4 linked regions of the Drosophila melanogaster genome follow. The protein of the gene in region 3 interacts with the protein of the main gene of each other region in a pairwise test. Each region holds a gene or a part of one and is shown on either strand. Other genes may lie near its edges.

Region 1 (7,071 bases), on a different chromosome or scaffold from region 3:
GTGGCTCTCTGGCGTGCATGCTCATTCACACAATCACGATGCGAGATTTCACTTTATGTGAATCGAATCCGAATCTGAGTCCGAATCGGACTCAAAGCCGGGCGAAGAGAGCGGCAGAGCGGCCGAACGGGAGAACGGGTCGGAGTCAGATGGTCGGCGCCTTCGCCAGCTGAGGGAAGCGAGAGCCTGTGATAAGACCCCCAGTCGACGGGCGAAATTACAAGGAATACGGACACGTACACATACTACTACAGGGGTTTTGGGGGGCAGCCGTGTGGAAATGGTCGTCATTGGTTGTGTGTTATATTCCAATTCATTAGCCAGTTGCTTGCATGTGTGGTGTTGATGTGGATTACGAATCAGGTGTTTGGAGTATGCGAGTGTGTGGGTGCTGGTCGTTGTTGGATGTGCTTTCGCTGCAGCGATGGCCCCTCTCTATTTACAGTATTCTTATATGCTAGGCTACCAATCCGGAACCCAGGATCCGCACGCGCTGCGCGCAATGCCCGACGTCCTATGCTCTGCGATCGCAGCCCCTGGGGTACAAGATCGAGTGACTCGGCTGGAGCGCGTCGGGGCTACGGGAGTCTGGTGTTGGTGCTGGAGCTGGACACGAACTGTTAGCAGACGTCGGTCGTCAGTAGAAGAGCACCGAGTGCAGGATGACCCGCTTGCGGCGCTCCTCGAACTCCTGGATCAATTCGTCGATGTCGTTGTCCAGGTCCGTGGACTTGGCCATCTGCAAAGGCACAAGAATCGTTGGGCGAATTGAGGGAATGGACGACAGATGATCATACCATGTTTATCATGTCTGTGATGACAAAGGCGCCCATTAGCGCATCTTCAGCGTTGTCCACCACATCCACGTTGAGAACGTGCACGGGTCGGTTGTCCACGGATTCCATGGACTCCATGTGCATCACCACCAGGTCGTAGACGCGCTCTTCCACAGTGACGATGATGTCGAACTGCTCTTTGGTGTCCTGAAACCGTTCCGGGCACTTCTTTATGCGACGATTGCGGTCGAGCATGTGTAGCAGGCCGTTCTGTGTGTAGCTGTAAACAGGACGAAAGGGCAGGGATTAGCCAACGGTAGGCCGGAAAAACGAATAACTCACAACTCCTTGTCCTTGGACTCCAGGTCGCGGTAGATGTCCTCGTATTTGGTGCCAAACTCGTAAACATTCGGCTTGTCGAACGCCATGCCCGGTAGCTTGACGCGCTCGCCGGTGCCGTAGGAGCGCACATTGAAACCCTTCTTGGCCAGAAAGTTGTGCGCCTCCATTGAGCGATTCATGTTCGAGGAACAGACTACGGCGACGGCGAGCTTGCTAGGATCAGTCATGTCTCTTTCTCTTTGGCAGTGCGTTGCAATCGCAGTCGTCGAAAAATATGTTCATCAAATTGGAGATGGGATGGCAAAACCACGAGCACGAATATCGATACGATATATTCACGAACATACATTTAACGTGTTAATCTGAAAACACGCGATTTAAAAAATTCTGCAGTGTTTAATTGAACACGTTGACTTCACGTTCAAAATATTCAAAAAACCTAAAAAAAATATACGTTATAACAACTGATAATTAGTACGGAATATTTAAAACTAATTATGTAAAAGCCTCGAGTTTTTGAAACATTTTTGGCCAAACAAATACATAACATACATAGCTACTTAACATAATTAAAGTTCGAGGAGTCCTGCAGCATTAAATATGATCAAACTAACAGCTGGCAATTACCTATCGTAATGTCTTAAAACGTATTTATAATCCTGCAACTTGTATAAAATGAAATATCTCATACTACCCTTAGCATAAAAAAGGGCTCCCCCTGGTTAATATCAATGTTATATCGAATAATTCCAATTTATTAAATCTATTTTAAATTCGAAATATTTTTCTGGACTCCAGCTCCACTACTATTGACACTTTCAACTAGTTATATCGATTTCTTGCCGCCAGTTTACGAACTTTTCAACACTGTCGACCAGTTCGACGCAGTCTGGCAGCGTTGGCGGTCAATTCTTATTTTTGAATCCAACCGAAGTGAATTTGGATACGAAAAGCGCCAAAACTGAGTTAATCTAACTATAAGTGAATTTTGTTACTAAAGCGCGAATTTGAACTTGAATTGAAAGCGGCTTGCAACACCCAATGGCGAATTTCGCCGTCCCAAGCGCATAGGCAACCGCAGTAGTAACCGACAACAACCTTTCAGTTTGGAGCTCGTGGAATGCGGCTGAGCAACTTGGAGCCGTTGCCTCCATTCTTTACCTGTGTGTGGAGTGAGGCAGGAGGACTAGAAGCACCATCGCCACCAGCGGCACCACAACCAGCAGCAGCAGCAGCCGCCGCATCGCGTGTGTTGTGAGTTAAGCAGGTTTGCGGCACAGTGGGTCGCATTGCTTGGCACTTGCGACAATATCAAAACAACCGTTTCTCCCCTTTCCAAACAATTAACAGATTGAAAAGCGTCTAAACTTCTTTTCACCTTTTGCTAACAAAAACCTATTTCAAAAAATATTCCCATTGAACCCAATGCCACGTCATTCTTGCTTGATAATTTAAAATAACCTTTATTTGTTTATTTTATATTAAACCGTAATTGTAGCGTCTTTGGGCCAAAAACATTTTAAAGTAAGCTTATTGTATATCATTTTATATTATACTTTGACAAAAGTGACACAACACAATTCATATACGTTTTGGATATCATTATACGGGAATAACATTGGGACAAATCTTGTAGAAAAAACAAAAAATATTTGTGCTAAAAAGCTACCATTTTGGCCATGATGTTCCACTGTGCAAAGCGGCGTTTGGAGCTGGAATTGATATTGGAATTGGCTCGTTCCACTGCTCACCTGTCCGTGTGAGCAGCGTGTGCATGAGTGGGTGAGGTGAGAGGAAGAGACAGAGACACACAGCGAGAGCGAGAGAGAGAGGGAGAGAGGACCCAACTGGTTGGTCGAATAGCTGCCGGCAGTACCGAAGTTCCTGAGATCCAATATTAGTCGTACTTTGTCACTCGATCGGTCAGGGCGTCGTTGTAGCCTTCGTTGTCGTCCACTTGCCGCCAAATCGGAACGCCTGCTGGCGGTGCTTGGTTATTGGGATTGGGATTGGACATCGCGTTCGGTGCGGGTGAGGGAGGGGAGCAGGCGGCGGAGGAAATAGCTCCCGCGGCATTTGCCACCGCGCTATATCGATCCGCCAATTAGGGAGTGGAATCCGGCGCTTTCTTCGCTGGACAACGACCATGTAAAGGTCACAGGTCAAGAACGGAAACTGTAGTACCAAAAAAGAAGAAGTCGGAGGTAAACCCGTTTTACAACCTGCCAATTGCAATTTGTCTTGGGTTCTTTTAGTTTTTACTTACATATGTACGAAACCAGGTGTTTTTCGTTATTTTTACACCACACCACCAGTCGCAAGATATTGCATGAAAATGCATTAAATGCAAGGCAAAAGTAGTTAATTCATTATCGGTTCTTAATGTGGACTATCTACGTACATAATTACACTCAACGTTCCATTTTTTTTTTTTTTTTTTGGGACAAAACGGGTCTTTAAAGCAGTTACATTCGTTTAAAAATAGTTTTGAATACCTTGAAGAAGTCGTCTCCGCTTTGATGACACCTTTAAGTGCATTTTCTTGGGGCTATGGAAAACTGTTTGCTCAGCTCAAAAAGCTTTTCCGAGTAACAACCAGGTTTCCGAGGAACCAGCCATGAACCATGGGAACCTATCTATCGGATCACGGACCTTGAAACCAAAAGTAGAACAGATATCTTCAAAGACACATATGTATGTACATATATGCAGATCGATATTGTCAGTTCAGTCACAAGATCTAAAGCACCATTAAGAAACTGCAATAGGAAAAGCCTAGTAGCGAGTATCTTTTGATCCTGAAGAAGTTTTCCTACGAAATAAGATGCTTTTTCTATCAAATTCACATCTAATTTAAAAGTGCTTCTAGGTAAGATTAAGTACTTAGTACTTTAGATTTATTTTTTCGAGCCTCGCTTGCTTTTGCTTTTATTCCCGCCATTAGACGCTGGTGGAAAGTTCTTCGCCATCCGTTAATTGCACAATACATGCGATGCACAATTTCCACATAAATGCATGTACATACATTTGTATATAATATATATGTATGTATATATAAATGATGGGAAAGTTTTGCGCATGCGCAGCCACTGGCGAAATGAAAGTGCTTATGATGGGGCGCAGTTTTTTCTCTCTCTGCAGACAAATACCGTTAATACCGTTGCAGTTTGCAGTTACCAACACATAGCTAATATGCAACACAGTTAATCTCTTGAACTTTCCACTTTACTGAAACACATCTAATGCCAGCAATGCACTTCGCAGGTCGACTAGTCCTGCTGCAGCAACAGCAACTGATCCGTGACGCCCAGTTCAGCATGTGACCGGAGTGGAGGACCAATCCGCCGGAAATGCTGAAGCACGCCTCGACGACGAGCAGCACCGCTGCGACCAGCGCCACCAGCGCTGCAGTGGCCATCAACCCGCTGTCCACTCTACTGGTCAATAGCTGCAACAGCAACCCGAACAGCAACAGCAGCAGCAGCAACAACCACACAGGAGGCAGTGGCAGTGGCCACAACACACCCCCAACGGTGGAAGCGGAAGCGAGCATCGGTATTGGAATTGGAGTTGCAACCACCGCGACCACAGCAGGCACGGCCGGCACCACCAATGGCAATGGTGGCTCACCGACCCCAGCAGCAGCTGCTGTGGCCAGCACCGCGCGCAACATTCACCTGCGGCCGCCGCAGCCGCTGAATATATCCGCCCTGAATGCGTCCGTTTCGAGCACGCTGCTCAACGAGGGCACAGGTGCCATGGGCGGAGGAGTTGCTGGCGGAGTAGGTGCGGGACGGGGTTGCGTGGGCAATGCCAATTCAACGCTGCTAAACATTGCCACGCCCAGTACGCCGCTCAAGCCGCTCACCCCGCTCACGCAGTTGACGCCCAACGGGCACTTTCTGGGCAACGGGAGTGTGCATCATCACACCTACACCAACCAGCACATCCTGGCCAGCCACCAGCAGCAGCAACAGCAGCATCAACATCATCATCAGCAGCAGCAACACCACAACCACCACAACCACCACCACCAACACCAACAAACGAACCATGCGCAAGCTCAAAGCCAGACACACAATCTTAGCCAGTTGCCGCAGAACTACAGGAACTTCAGCCACCCGAGCACGAATCCTGTGCGCCACAAGCTGCCCAAGTCGGGCCCATCACCGCGCGAGGCCCTCACCAGCCTGGGTCTGCTCTGCCTTAGTAAGTTCATCCGATATGGTGACGGGAGAGCGTCAAGTAATGCCTGTTTTTTTTTTTTTCTGCAGTTTCCCTGCTTCTGGCGCTGCTCTCGCTGATTTTCCTCCTAAGGATATCACCGAATGGACGCGAGGACGCCGTGGGTCGGGGCGCCGGTGGCGAGGACTTTATTGTAGTTTACGACGTCACCCTGGCACTGGGCGCCCTCTCCCTATCGCTGAACCTGTGCTGCCTACTGGTTTGCGCCATCCAGTTCCTGTTCGCCGTCAAGCTGCGCGAGCCGGCCTTCGAGGGTCGCGATAACCAATACCTGGTCAAGTCCAGTGCCAGCCGCACGTGCGCTGTCAGCGGCTTCTTCATCTCCATACCGGTCTTTCTGACCGGCCTGATCCTGTACACCTTTAGTCACTTCCACTCGACGCCGGCGATCGTGACCAGCCTGCTGATTGGAGTGGGCATAGTATTCTGCGGCGGCGCCATGGTGCACAACGTGTTCGTGTGGCAGCGCGAGAAGACCATTAGCTACCGTGGAGCACCGCTGTCCCACAACTTGTCGGTGATCTCGGCTGGCCAGCTGCCGGCGACGCTGCCTGTGTCCATGCCACTGCCACCGGGCCCGTTCCACACGTACCAGGCCGCTCATCAGGGGCACCAGAGCCACCTGGTGCCGCCCTCCGTGACGGCGGTCTCGCCGAATCACTCCCACGGCAGCTTTAACCCACTTCTCCTTGGTGGAGGGGGCGGCGGAGGCGGAGCACTGGGTGCCGTTAACTCCTCATTTCTGGTGCGTCCAGCCACTGCCACACCACCGACGCCCACGCCCAGAACACTGGCGAATAGCAGCTGCCTAACAGCAGGTCGCGAGGCCAGCGGATCGGTCAGCCCGGGCATTCCGCCAACGCTGGACATGAGCAACATCACCGTCCTCCTACACGAGCTCTCCACGCTCGTCTAGATCCGCTTAAGCTGCGGACTTGACTGCGCACAGACTTACAGACGATATCCACCGCACGCCCGCATCTCTTGCCGAATCCTAGCTGTAAGAACGACCATTGTAAATACCTGTACATATGTATGACTCCGAACCATCTAACGAATACATCTTTGTAAGCTAAAGAACTGCATCGCCATTATCATGAAATGTAAGTAACCCGTTTGTGCTCCTCCTTAACTTCAGATCCGAAAGGATTCGGATCGGAGCTCAATAATAATAATCTTTATTTTGAAAAATCCGTCTGCTTATAAAACTCAAAAGTGTTGGGTGGATGCTATCAATTCCACATTAACTTCAATTTATTTAAACACTCAAACTAATGCCAAACTAAAATTAAAAATATTAAACGTAAGCAAAGTAAAAAATAAAAATACAGTGCCTTCCGAGCCGATTCTGAGTCTGCTGATCCGGTGATCCGGGTGCATAACTAATGCTCCGACTTGGAGGTGCGACGCAAGCGCGGACGTAGCTCCCGGTTCTGCGTGCTGGCGGCAGAGTTGGACTTAGAGCCGGTCCTAGAACTGGAGGCTTCCGAGCGAAGGTCACCTGTGCCATTCGCAGACTGATCGCTCAGTTCCGAGATGCGTCGCCTAGCGGTGCGACGGAGACGCGGCTGCTCCTCCTCTGGTGCAGTTGAATCGGGTACATCTATGGGAGCATCGATCGGAGTCGGAGAGACGGCGACTGGTGACTGGACGCCTGAGCTCGTCTTGCGCGATCTGACCCCCGCACGAGCAGTCTTCGGTTTGCGCA
Region 2 (5,025 bases), on a different chromosome or scaffold from region 3:
CACAGTCCCGCCCCCTGCGGCATACCACCCCCGCCTCCCTCTTCGCACACTAGAACCACTGCCGCTGGGTAATTTGATTTCCTCGACGCTGCCATCATCTGCATCCTTGACGTCGGACACGTTTCTGCCTAATGGAGTTGCTCGAGTGGCGTGAATTTCAATTAAATTAAATCAAAATGTTGCATTTTTTATTAAGCCCATTAGCGGCACACACGGAAAACCCGCCCCCTCAGAGGACCGCCCGCTGGCCCCTAGTTGGTTAAATTAAGTTAAGATACCACCTCGTCAGTGCGAAAAGAACTTGTATCTTAATGTGCATAATGAAGTGCCAGACTTGACTTGCCATCCAGGAACACCTGGATGTGCCAATATAAATCCGGTGACTGCACTGATCCTACTGCTGCGAGGAAAAGCTATCGGGAAAATCCCAGTTTAGATGAAAATGGGGCCATTCAATAACTGAATTGCTATTTTTGCTAGCAAAATGATTTTAAGGGATTTACTTATTCAATTCATAATTATTTATAAATAGCGAATTCTTAATTTATAGTTTTATATATACACACCTTTTAAATGATTTATGTAAGTTTCTTATTAATAGATATTTATTTACAAGAAAATGTTAAGGAAAAGGCTGCTGTTTTTCCGACTGTTTCTGCGAAAAGCCAAATATCAGTGCACAAGAAGAGTTGGTGGGCGAAGAAAAGTGGAAGTGGAGTTTCCTATTGTTGCACATGCATTAAGAGTAATGCTGCAGTGCTCGGAAAATGCTGGAAAGAGGGTGAAAATGCTACTTTGAGTGGCAATAAACAATGCATAATGAGTTGAGAGTCGCGTTATTATTGTTGCAGCCCGTGGCTGAGACTGTTCATTACTCAAACAGGTAATTTAAATTAAGCCAAAACAATACGCCAAGGTGGCATTTAAAGTAGGTGCAAAACGCATTTCGCCATTAGGAAATTGCCAATTAAGAAGCAAACACTTCTGGGTCCATTCATTACTGCAACACTTGCAGGCAAATCATTTAATTGTCTTTTAAAAATATACTTAAATCAGCAGAGGCGGCAAAGTATTACAAGTCTTCATGCACTTTCTCAGATATGACTAGCCACAAGCACTTAATTCTTGATATCACTTGGAAGTGGCACTTCCAAATCAAAATTATATACATTTAGTAAATAAGAACTATTCGAAAAGACATTTTTCATTTAAAAAGGGAACATTAAGATTTTACTAATTTTTCTATTATCTTAAAGAAAAAATTTTCTAATTTCCACATTCCGTATTTTGTTAATACAACATTTCATTAATAATAATGCAGATATACCCACGATGTCAGGATTTTAAAATAATCTTGAATAATTTGCAAAAGTTAGATCAGAGCAAATATAACATAGATTTAAATTTGTGATACTGTTACCTAACAGAATTTTACAATGTTATTGAAATGTTAATTTTAACACAAAAAAGTGCTCTTCTGCTAATTTTTACATGCACCCAAGACAACAACCATCGAATACAACTGAGTATACGTTCGTTAAAATTTTGGTGGCAACGCTTGTATTCCTAATCTATTAAGATGGCAAGGCTCGTTATCTGAAGAATTTACATTGGCAGCATCAAACATCATTAACTTTGAACTGTTATACAATGGTGCCAATGTAACTTTTTCTCGACAAATGAATTTTGTACTTATTTACCCAAGTGTATATGGAAACAATCAGGTACCGAAAATGTGAACTCTTACAATATATTTTACCTCTTTTTCATCTTAAGTTGTTTTTTTATAAAAGATATCAGCACTGCTGCAAAGACAGCATGCTTTAATATATAATATATATTAATTAAATAAGTTTCACAGTTTTTACGTGGTGTTAACCAACTTACAAAATTCACTCACAAATGTTAACATTCTGTACAAGCATTAGTGTTACCAAATACTCGATAGTATTTTCGCCGTTCCACCAGCTGGTCACACCAGAGACGAATTTAGAAATCTAAAGAGAACCCAACAGTTTCCTAATGCAAATACAATAAACTAATTGTTTAAAATGTGACAACAGTGAACCAAATGCTTGCTGAGTAATAAACCAAAGGATGTTTTGTTTTTTTCTAAAACGTGCCAAGTGAATCGGCTCCACGCAAATGAGAGTGCGGTCTGAAAACAATGGAGCTGCCGTAAAGAATTGATTAAACAAAATAGTCGAGAAGAGAGCGCAAAATGCACAAAATGGTTAAATTATTCCTCAGGTAATTTCAGTCCCAACAAAAACAGCATGTGCCAGATTGCTTTCGTGCTCTTATTGCTGTTGTTGTAGTTCTAGACTCTCTCTTTGCGCTTTAATATTATGAATGACGTAAGCGCGCCTCTTTGGTAGCAATACAAAAGCAATAACAACAATTTGGTTTTGTTGCTTTTGTAAACAAGGAAAATAACAGAATGGTTTTGTACCGCTCGCGTGTGTGTGTGCATAGGTGAGTGGGGAGCTCACTCACCTATGCACACACACACACAAACGCAGGTAAAAGTGGCGTCGTTGGATTTTTACTTGGAAAACGTGTTCGAACTATAAAGAGAAATAGTAAGAGAGAGCTGAGCAGTCTAGCGCTCTTTGCAATGTTATTTCTTTTTTTGGTCAATGACCTAAGCTTTTTCGTCCGTTAGTTGAATTCGTTTCTTTCGCCAATTTCCGTGCTTTTGTGTGCGAGTTAAAAAACTTGGTCTATTTTCACAAAAATCATTGTTTACACTTTGTTGATGTGTAGGTAATTTTCCCAGGCTTTCTTAGCCTCATTTTTCAAGAAAAGGAGTAAACACTAAGTTGGAGGCCAAAGTTGTGAATGGTAAAAAAAAAACGTAATTTTTAAAGAAATTTAAAAAAAAAACTGCCAGCAGTAAACAACGTACAAATCAAAAGAGAATAATTGAGAATACTATAATTAATAGTGTTGTATACATGAAATGTTCAAGAACTTTATTTCCCGAACACATAAAGCATGAAATGAGTCTTCATAGTGTTTCCTTATATCTCTGAAAACAAATAGTATATCACTCGATCATCCAATTGCCTTGCTGTTGTGACATCTTGACAGTAATTAAGTTTATGCACTCAATTGTCACAAAGCCGGAAACAAAAGTGCACAAAGATGTAACATGTTGGTACATTTTTTGCAATGACAACAGCACGCAAATTAGTAAACATTACCGGCCAAATAACAATGCACTGTTTGGAAAATAAAGTAAATATTATGAAATAAATATTATTGTTGTTATACAAAACAGAAAGCAATTACGGAGAAGCAGTAACTGCAGCACAGGTATATTTGCATTCGTGATAACTTTTTGGTAAATAAATTATCTAAGCAATAAAAATGTTTTAAACTTGTAGGATTTTATTTTGGCTTATAAACATAAATACACTTAAAAATAAGTTTTAGGTCGCTTGTTTCAGTTTGTTTCAGAATGTTTTAAGAGCACCGTATAAAATTTTCGAAATTTTCCACAATCTTGAACGGTACTTCTGCGTATTAAGATTAATTGTTTGGCCTTTTATCAGTCTATTTCACTGGAATAAATATTTAACTAGTACTCAGATTTTGTAGGGCACTCTATATGCGGTGTACTTTGCTGACCGAAAAAAAGAGAGATACAAATGTTGAGAATGCGAGGGAAAACGCTTTTGTGATCTTCTTGATTTAAAAATTTTAACGCCAGTGCTGACCGAGCAATTAAAATGTAAACAGGCGGGAAATGAATAAGCGTGCCAGGGAAAAATAAAATGAAATCCCAAAATATTTACAATCATGCAGCAGCAGTTGCACATAAAAACCCAGGAAGAGAAGAACGGAATCTTAACGTGTATGCTTTCGAAAATATACTTGTACCTTAAAATGGCAAATTGGCAATAAGAAACCGACGCGACATTAATATGGCTAGGTAAATACAAAGGCATCATTACCGAAGGTCGTTTTTGTTTGCGTGCGATAAACTTTTTTTCTTTCGACTTTATAGCAAATATTCACGCATACAAACAAACCCGAATGCTTCCCTGTGTTTGCGATTGGTATTATCTGTGTAGGCCTTTGTTATCCAACCATTTGCTTATCTGGGCACGGCTGTCAATGCGTGTGTTTGTGATGGATACTTGATTGAATTGTTGTCCGTATGTTAGCGCCTAAAAAACAATCGACAGCCGCTTATCAGCTGGCAGAAACATAAATAAAATTTCCTCAAACTGAAGCCGAAGGTAAAATGCTCTCTAAATCAATTGCTATTATTAAATAGTATTAGCTTAAGAAGCAAGAAGGTTACGTTTCAAGGGTATACAATAGTCGTTAGCCATGTCATCGTAAAGTCACTGCCCCTCCTCGCACACATTCAAACAGTTTGTCAATCAACCGACAATCGGTTGCCAATCAAACAACAAAAATTCGTGGGTGAGGTGAGTTCTAGATTTTCTTTGGTTAGAGGATGGGAAAATCTGTCTGAAAAGTGGGACAGCAATTGACTGACTAATCGAACACATTGTTTAAGTCAATTATTTCCATTTAAGCTACATGATTCGTTTCGAAAATATTTCACAGTATATGGATGTTTTGAATACTTAGTAAAAATATATAAAATTCGCAATACTTACTTTCAATGTATTTAAAATATCAATTGGATTGGACATAATTTACACTTGTTGCATTCCTTTAACCTTATCCACAAATTAACAAAGTCCAAATTGTTTTCCATTTGAAGTACAAATATTATTGTTTTGTATTTTGTTATCTTATCTAATTCTTCTGAAATGACAAGTTATCCAATAGCAAATATTTGATTACTACAAACTATATTGTAATTATGCAGTAATTTTGTTTTTCCCAACTAAAGATGTTAGGAAAATAGAAACAATCACAACTAGGAATCACTTTCTTATCTGCATCTTCTGTTGTGTTTTGTGTGTCAAGTATAAAAGTATCAACAATATGTTATCCCATTTTATCTCCTCCAATTAAATACCCAAAATAATGGCTACCATT
Region 3 (3,028 bases):
ATATATGAGTTATGGACTTTGTCGGCATTTGGAATGAAGCACAAAACACTCACAAGAAGGTAATGACGAGGAGAACGCGAAGAACAACATCTACGGCATCGCTGAGCTTCGCATTAGAGTTTCCTGTTCTGTGGCTTCGTTCCTCTCGCTTTTCTGGCTGAACGGAGCTGCTGTCCGTGTTCATAGCAAGTTCATTGCGCCACATTTCGTCGTCGTTGGTCCTGGTCCTCGATCCTGTATTCCTGACGTCCTCTGCGGAACTGTCGCTGAGGGTTCGCCTGGATTCTTGACCTTCCTTGCTCGCAGTCATTTCGTTAGTCCGTTGGGTATATTCGGTTGTCAGCTTAGGCCTGGTGCTTGTCGCCTAAATAATTGAAGAGATAACCAAACGACGAGTCATTAATGATTGCACTTATGTATGCGGACGGGTAAACTACTTCAGGTGTGGGATAGATTGAAAAGAAGGCCTATCTAACTTTTTTACTTCATGTGCATATGTGCTTATCAGTCGCAGATTGGGAAGTCTATTGATGAAAAAGCTAATGCTTTTAGAGAGTATACCGGAATAGGCAGGCAACCCCCCCTTACTGAAGCGGTGGCATGGGCAAGCCTACGATTTTCGCGATTAGATACAAATAGTGAAAAAAATAAGGCCCCATACGAGACGTATAAATTGAGATAAAAATGTTTCCAATCATCCTAGCGATTGTGCCAGCATTTGCTCACACTAAAACTAGAATGTTGATAAATATTTTTATAGGGTTCGTAGAAGGAATCATAGCATTCGCTTTTCTTTCAGTGCACACTTGGCCACGCTTTTCGTCAATGTTTGTCATCAAACGCGGTTACGTATGGCCAGATAGGTATGGATGTGTGTGGTGCACATATATATATGGTATAGTGAGCGGCTATATCGTATAGGATGCCGATGCCATATGCACACGCGATGGATTTAACAAGCCAGGCGTCAAAAACACTATTGGCTAGCTGACGAGCACCTGCTCCTTGCCTGTGCCGCCAATATTGCCGTTGCGGTCGATTGGATTTTCGCGGCGGCGACTTCGTAGGTCCGCCGTACAACTATCGGGCATTATCACCCGATCCGATGCAATCTCCTGGGATTTGGGTATATTTGAGTTGACTTTGGAACTGTTTGCACTTGGGGCATCCACTCGTTGTTAGTCTGGTGGCGTTAATCCCGACGTGGTTTCAACTTGACTGCTTCCCGATTGCTAATGCTGCTGAATGCTAATGGCAGGGCTTTTTATAAACTTTCTCTAATCTCGCAACAGCATCGTAAAACAAACTGCGAAGCCAGCCCCTTTCACCTCACCCCTCTCCAAAAACTAATGCGCAAGAAAACAACAACAGCTGTTTGCCCTTTTCGTTAGTCGGATTCCCCGAGAGTGTGCAGCTTGACCGTTTACTTGTTAATTGGGCATGACCGTGTTTGTTGCGGCAGTAATTACAATTCATTGCGTAAAACTCGTATGCACGCGACAAAACCAAACTTTTTTCAGCCGTTTCTTTTCGTTTTGATTCAAATCAGTCGGTTGTTAGTTTGCAAATCAGAATAGGGCTGGCGATAACATTTGTTATCGACGGTAGTGCCAACTCGGCGCATAGCAGCGATAAGTCAGGGTTGTTGGTGCGATCATATGATTGAAAAATCTCCGTCAGACCGAAATAATAATAATATATAAATAAAGTTATTCCTCAGCCCGCAATGAGCATTCAAAGAAGCGAAAAGGAGGCCGCGGGCCAGCTACTGGATGACTTGTACCTGGACATGTTCCACCTCGTTGAGGAGCACACCCAGTGTCGGATAAATTTGGAGCGATGTAACGCCAGTGGGGCGATTCTCCTGGCCCGCACTAGATTTCAGCACGGAGGCAGCCAGTGCGTGTCCACGGCCCAGATTCCCACGGAGAACAGTGCCGAGTTTAACGCCCTCTGCCGGGTCGTGGACTCCACGGATGGCGTCTGCATCGAGCGACAGGCGGTTGACAAGTCCAAGGGCTTCGTGGAGCCCCTGCATTGGTTCTCGTGAGCACTGATAAAGCCTGTGTGTATGTGGGTCAATGTGATAACTCACTTACTCCTTTTTCCAGGGTACTGCCACCGATGAGCTTGCGCAATGCTGTTAACAAGTTCAAGGACTGCATAGAGCTGGTCGCCGAGAGCACTAATCTGCAGCGGCAGCTAGGAGAAGCGCTGGATTCGATCACAAAGCTGCGAAGGAGTGCCCTGCTTAGCTAGATACTTATGGCGCGCACACAATCCATACAATGTTAAGAATAAAGTAGATTTGAAAACATTATTGAAACAGCACTCACTGACTCTCGATGAAGAAGATATGCGAGAAATTATTGTTGATCTATCTGAAACGTCAATTTCATAATTATCTGACGTATGATCCCACCTCGTTTAAAAAAACCTATAAATGACGCCCAGAAATGCCTTTTCTTTAGTATCAAATAACAAACATTATTAAAATGGACTACATATTTATATCGAGCTTAGAATTTTTCTTATTTTAGTAAGCCAATTAGTTTTTCACAGAATAAGAAGTCCATAAATTGGCTCCCCTTGTCTTTAGTTCTACTTTCACACGTTTTTCTAACCTTTAAGAGTTAGAAACAAAGATTTTTGCACTGTTATTTAGCTAATTTATACAATATAGACTTCCACAAACCTTATCTTGATATTTTAGTACGCCTAAATTTTAAATATTTCCGCTCAGCGCTCTCATGTGCGAGGCTGCCACTCGGCGAGTGCAGAACCAGCAAGTGGGCAGTACCGCGAATTCTACTCGTCAGCTGTTTGATTTGTCAACCATTTTTCGCTTCGTGTTCTTAGCGAAAATTAAATCGAACGCGTAATTCACTTGTTACATTTGCGGAGTGCATGGTGAGTCCCTATCTCGATGGTGTTTGAGATCCTCCGCGTCCCAAGATCCGTTTCTGAAATAAAACTGGGACAGAAGCTGGGGTTCTAAACCAAAAATCGATAATAAATTGCCAAACGA
Region 4 (4,960 bases), 9.8 Mb from region 3:
ATAAGTTACTTGTGTGCATTGTGTATTGCAATTGATTTGAACTGATTGCAACAATTTTTGGAAATTAATCAAATGTACTCATCCCTATTTTCAGATTTGATTTCAAGTTTTTAAAAAAAAGTGAGGCCGTTGACATTTCACTGCCTTGTTGGAGAGGTCAGGGCTTTTCAATATATTGTTTTATATTTAGTTAATTCACTAACATTACCATTCAAAACGGTGCCTAATCATTTTTTTTATCATTATATTTTGTGTCTATTTACAAAATTTAATCGTACTACTTGTATAAGGTTTATGCTCTTATTTTTGCAATAAAGTTATTTATTGTTAGTTATGCAGGATTCACTAGCAGCTAACTTAGTACGGGGTACCCAGTAGTCGAAGAATGGGCATTTCCCTCTTTGTTGACGTTGCGAGTCAGCTGTGCCTTAGTGCTGGTAAACAAACAAAAGCATTAACCATTTATCGGCCAATTGGCGCCAAGTTTAAAATGCACAAGTCTCGGTTTTTCATCTTTATGTTTATTAAAACGTTACAATTTAATTCTATTACACTTTTGCTTATAAACGAAAGAAACAAATCATTGTCAATTGGTACATCATATTTTATACATCGTTTTCATATTCAAACTTCTAGCAATCAACAAAAGGCAAACACCAAGGTTACAACTTATTTATAAGAGTGTACAAATCATATAAAAAAATCGGCAAAAAACATGGATATTGACAAGCATAGATATAAAATCAGTTATGTCTCTCATTTGGGGTGGGCTCGAAAGTGACCAAACTTTTTTCTTGCCTGTTCTTTATGTACAAAAATAAAATGTCCTAAATGTTTAAAATGTCGAAGTTTGTCGTTGAATGTGCGCGAATGGATTTGGAGTTGGGTTGGGGCGATCCCAATAAGTGAGCCATTGGAGAGGGGTATTGCGGAAGTCCCTTTATTGAAAATTGTCAAGTTCTTATACGTGCCGGTGTTGTGCTGCTGATGCTGCTCCTGTTGTTGTCCCATTTTATGGTAATTCCTAACTAACATTTCTCAGAAGGAGTAAAACACGGTAAAAGTCAAATGTTGAAAGTGTTTCGTTCAAGGAGCGACCGTTGCCTGGCCTCTACCACTTCTTCTTGTGCTCGTCCATGGAAACGCCGCCAGGGCCCAAGGACACGATCATGAGGAGGCCACCGATCACCGAGAGAGTCTGCGAAGGGAATGCGTAAAAATAACACAAATTCGTGCGAAAGATATTGTAAACCTGCTAACCTGGAAAAAGTCGTATTTCAAGAAATCCCTGAGTGGCTTGTAGGACGGAATGGTCCACCAGGCATTGTGGTACAGGTTCAGGATCGTAAGCAGAGCCACCAGAATCAGGGCGGACAGCTTCGTCTTGTATCCCAGCACGACCAGCACCATCAGAATGGAGCCGATGATGTCCTGTATAACTTGCCATACGCTCAGCTCAAAGCGGATCAAAGTGATGAACATGAAGGCCAGCAGGATGCGGCCCGCCAGCTGCATGAAGTTCTTGGGCTTGTTTTCGCCCATCGATGGCACGCCGGCAAACAGGCTGCGCCCCTCTATCCTGGCTTCCGCCAGGACGAGCAGTAGGGCTCCGATGAGTGCAAAGTTTCGCAGTAAGAACTGGAAGTCCCACAGAATGGAGTAGGCAACGGTCTGCAAACAGAGGATCGGGTTAACGTCAAGGCTTTTGCTTCTGGCTGATATAAATGCAGACTCACCTGCAACACCACAATGAAGAAAAGCAGTCCCACCGCTATGTCGACCTTAAATCTGGCCATCACCATGCCGCAGCCGCCCAGTTGGCCCAACAGGTTGACGAGCACAAAGACGGTGGCCAGGAACTTGCCGCAGCCCCAGCTCATGTCCATGTACTCCCGCTGCTCGTTCCATTGGATGTACATGCGCAGGCCGTCCTCGAAGAACGTGGCGATGAGGCACAAACGGGCCACTGTGGGCAGCACATTTTTGCCGCGCTTGATGACCTGCAAAAATGAGTGTTCGATTGGTTCTGGTTGAGTTGAGAGCAATTGGGATGGGTGCTGATATGGTGATAAGGGGACTACTGACAAGGTGATAAGGGATTTAAATATACAATGCCGTTGAGCGTGGCTTGCGCGTAGTCGCTAGAAATCGCCCGCTGGCTGTGACGTGTCTCTAAACGCTAGTATCTCTCGATTGCTATCTGCCAGCTAACGGGTTTTGGCCCGGCTGTCAATGTAACTTCATACATGTATGTATGTAAATCGCGAGCAAGTTCACCTGGCTTTCTAGCCCAACTATTACGGAACTCGACCTGGCCGCTGGCGTCCAGCTGCCCGCTATTTCTTTTTCAACACTTTCACTTGCGGAGACAGCTCTCTCGCACACACACACAGACACATACGCATCAGCACACAGGTAGAAAATAAGCAGCGAGAGAGAGAGTTTTCCCTGCGGCAGACGCAACAACTGTCAATTGCGGTACTGGAGTACAAGGCAAACCCATCATCTGGGTTGCACCCAGATTCTTATTGGAAGCAAATGCCCAGCACGTTGCCCCCATGTCAGCGGATCGTGATTATATGCAGCCAAGACCCTCGAACTTTGCCGCGTTTGGGTGACGTTGGCAGTTTTCCCAGTTTGCAGCTGCCAGGGCTTCCCCGCAAACGCCATTTGGGGCGCATCGGGAAGACGCTTCCTGCGGTGGATATGGAGTCCTGGTGGACTTCTTTTTGGCAGTGGAACCTAATATATCTTACCTGTTCCGCCACATCCTCCGTTTTCGCTATGTACTCGTTGGGTATGCTCATGTTGGCTGCTTTGGGCTGATCCGATCTCTCACTTTGGGGCAATCGTCTGTGGAGACACTTTGGCAATTCGTTTCTGACTTCTTGGGCGTCGCGTCGCTCTCCAAATTGTTGTTAAGTTACCAAAAAATCATGAATTAAAAGGCAGGAACTTAAAAACACACACGCACGACAAAGTATAGCCGTGATGGGGCCTATCGTTATCGCTGCGTTATCGATAGCCAATGGGCAACACATGGCCAATCGAATTGATAATTCGCTGTGAATGGGAAAGCAGCAATCAAAAAACAAGCGTGCCTGTGCTCATTTTATTTGACAAGTTGAACGCTATTTATTTTCCCTGTAAAGATGTCCGTTCAACAATCCAAGCCAAAGCAGAAGAAAGTCAAAGTTAAAAAACAGGATGATGCCGGCTATGGATCCGGGGAATTTTCCTTGGACTGGGATGTAGACAGCTACAAGACGGAATACGAAAGTGATGAGCACTGGGATCTGCGACGCAGCTTCATGCTGGCCCACAAGGATCGTTTTGAGGAGGACCGGCTGGTGTGCCTGGCCCAAACGTTCGTCAACATGGAGTTCATGGGCTGCAAGTATCCAAGCGCGACGATGCTTTTGGTGGCCGAGTTGTCCAAGGAAATCGCAGCGGATTTCCGTCAGAAACGGGAACAGCGCCTGAAGAGAACATTTGTCTCGGCGTCGGATGCGGCGGAGCAGCGCGCCAAAGGTAGACGACTGAACAATTAGTGGGCCCATAGGCGAGAGAAGATTCTTTTTATCACTAGTAACTATACGAGCCAGAGAGACCAAAGCCTAATGCCTAATTCCAACTACTAGGGCGCCGGGCTCCACCCCTTCCCTCGACGAGCTCCCCAGAGGATAGCTCACACATAAAACGCCAGTGTTTTGGCGGCGGAGATCCAGTCGATCTCTATCAAGATCTGCGTTTCGGTCGGCTCATTGTGTACTTGGCTGGGGGACGAGCCTGCCTGCAAAACTCCTGCAACATTGCGAATGTCAAGTACGAAGAGCGTGTCAGCCGAGATCAGCCATTAAGCGATAATACAAAATACGCCGAATTATTAGTAAATGATGAGGTAATAGCGACAGGACAGGGGGAGAGCCTTAAGGCGGCCAAGAAAGCTGCCTATAAGCAGGCGCATTTGACGATCCAGTCCTATTGCTATAGTATTAAGGTATGAAATTTCTGAAATAATGTATGCCTTATTAAACCCGGTACTACGCTACACAGCTGAATGCCACGCGCGACACCATCAAGGTGGAAAAAAACAAGGACGGCGTCAACATCAAAGTCACCAATGAGTCCGCCGACAGTCCGTGCGATCCCAAATTGGACCCCAGCAACAAGGGATATCGCATGATGCGACTGATGGGCTGGACAGGCGGTGGCTTAGGGCGACTGAAGCAGGGACGTGAAGAGCCCGTATGGTAAGAGTTCGACTTTTAACGTATCACCAAACGAAACTATTTTATTTTATATTTTCAGTTATCTGCTAAAGAACAATCGTAATGGTCTTGGATTAATAAATCCAAAGGGAAATTTCGCTGATTACCGACGGCTTATAGAAAACTATGTGAGATCGGACGATATACGTGACATGCAGTTTGAGCCCACGTTTTCGAAGGAAGAAAGAACCACGCTTCACCAGTAAGCACCGTCATCCCACATCGTAAAAAATAATTGCTTATTATGTTGGCATTTCCCTTTACAGAATCGCCAGACAATTTGGCTTGCGTTCCGCTAGCTATGGGAGTGGAGAGAGCCGGCGCCTTTTGATTACCAAGAAGATCGACTATGGCACAATACTGACTGAGGTCCTGCTTCGGCGGAACCCCAAGTTTTGTGATCGTTACTTTGTGCACGTACCCATGCAGAAGGCGCACCTGTTTCCTGGTCATGTGGCCGACCTGGAGATGAACGATGTATGTGAATAGGCAGGACGAACAAAATCTCAGCTCATAGTACTCTTATAAAAAGATCTTTATTCTTAGTTTTAATATAAAGGATGTAAAATATATGAAAAGTATTTCTGACCGTGTACTTTGTTTACGTTTCGTGCTGAATGGCTGCGAGAAAGAAGAAGCATAGCTGCAATTTTAGTCTCCTGTATGTGCGATTTCAATGCATTTAGAAT

Evidence for each region.
Region 1: the proteins of CG14671 (region 3) and CG14223 interact in a two-hybrid assay, tested with the Drosophila melanogaster proteins (one large-scale study listed by BioGRID).
Region 2: the proteins of CG14671 (region 3) and raw interact in a two-hybrid assay, tested with the Drosophila melanogaster proteins (one large-scale study listed by BioGRID).
Region 4: the proteins of CG14671 (region 3) and Surf4 interact in a two-hybrid assay, tested with the Drosophila melanogaster proteins (one large-scale study listed by BioGRID).

The regions. Positions count from the first base shown.
Region 1 is NC_004354.4:19,658,920-19,665,990, reverse strand, and holds CG14223 (uncharacterized protein), read left to right. Parts: upstream 1-2,019; 5' UTR 2,020-2,372; intron 2,373-2,623; exon of another isoform or gene 2,624-3,322; intron 3,323-3,697; exon of another isoform or gene 3,698-3,987; intron 3,988-4,382; 5' UTR 4,383-4,468; coding exon 4,469-5,327; intron 5,328-5,392; coding exon 5,393-6,279; 3' UTR 6,280-6,549; downstream 6,550-7,071. Other genes in the region: Ssu72 CTD phosphatase, read right to left, coding at 638-739, 798-1,056, 1,119-1,345; elys, read right to left, coding at 6,746-7,071.
Region 2 is NT_033779.5:8,737,610-8,742,634, reverse strand, and holds the start of raw (raw), read left to right. Parts: upstream 1-1,974; 5' UTR 1,975-2,221; coding exon of another isoform or gene 2,222-2,250; intron 2,251-5,025.
Region 3 is NT_033777.3:5,563,424-5,566,451, reverse strand, and holds CG14671 (uncharacterized protein), read left to right. Parts: upstream 1-1,636; 5' UTR 1,637-1,726; coding exon 1,727-2,046; intron 2,047-2,111; coding exon 2,112-2,259; 3' UTR 2,260-2,475; downstream 2,476-3,028. Other genes in the region: CG12746 (uncharacterized protein), read right to left, coding at 54-310.
Region 4 is NT_033777.3:15,343,153-15,348,112, forward strand, and holds Surf4 (surfeit 4), read right to left. Parts: upstream 3,025-4,960; 5' UTR 2,808-3,024; coding exon 2,757-2,807; intron 2,001-2,756; coding exon 1,737-2,000; intron 1,672-1,736; coding exon 1,261-1,671; intron 1,199-1,260; coding exon 1,112-1,198; 3' UTR 501-1,111; downstream 1-500. Other genes in the region: CG31301 (uncharacterized protein), read left to right, coding at 3,153-3,531, 3,642-4,000, 4,057-4,253, 4,312-4,473, 4,538-4,760. UniProt on the Drosophila melanogaster protein: Endoplasmic reticulum cargo receptor that mediates the export of lipoproteins by recruiting cargos into COPII vesicles to facilitate their secretion.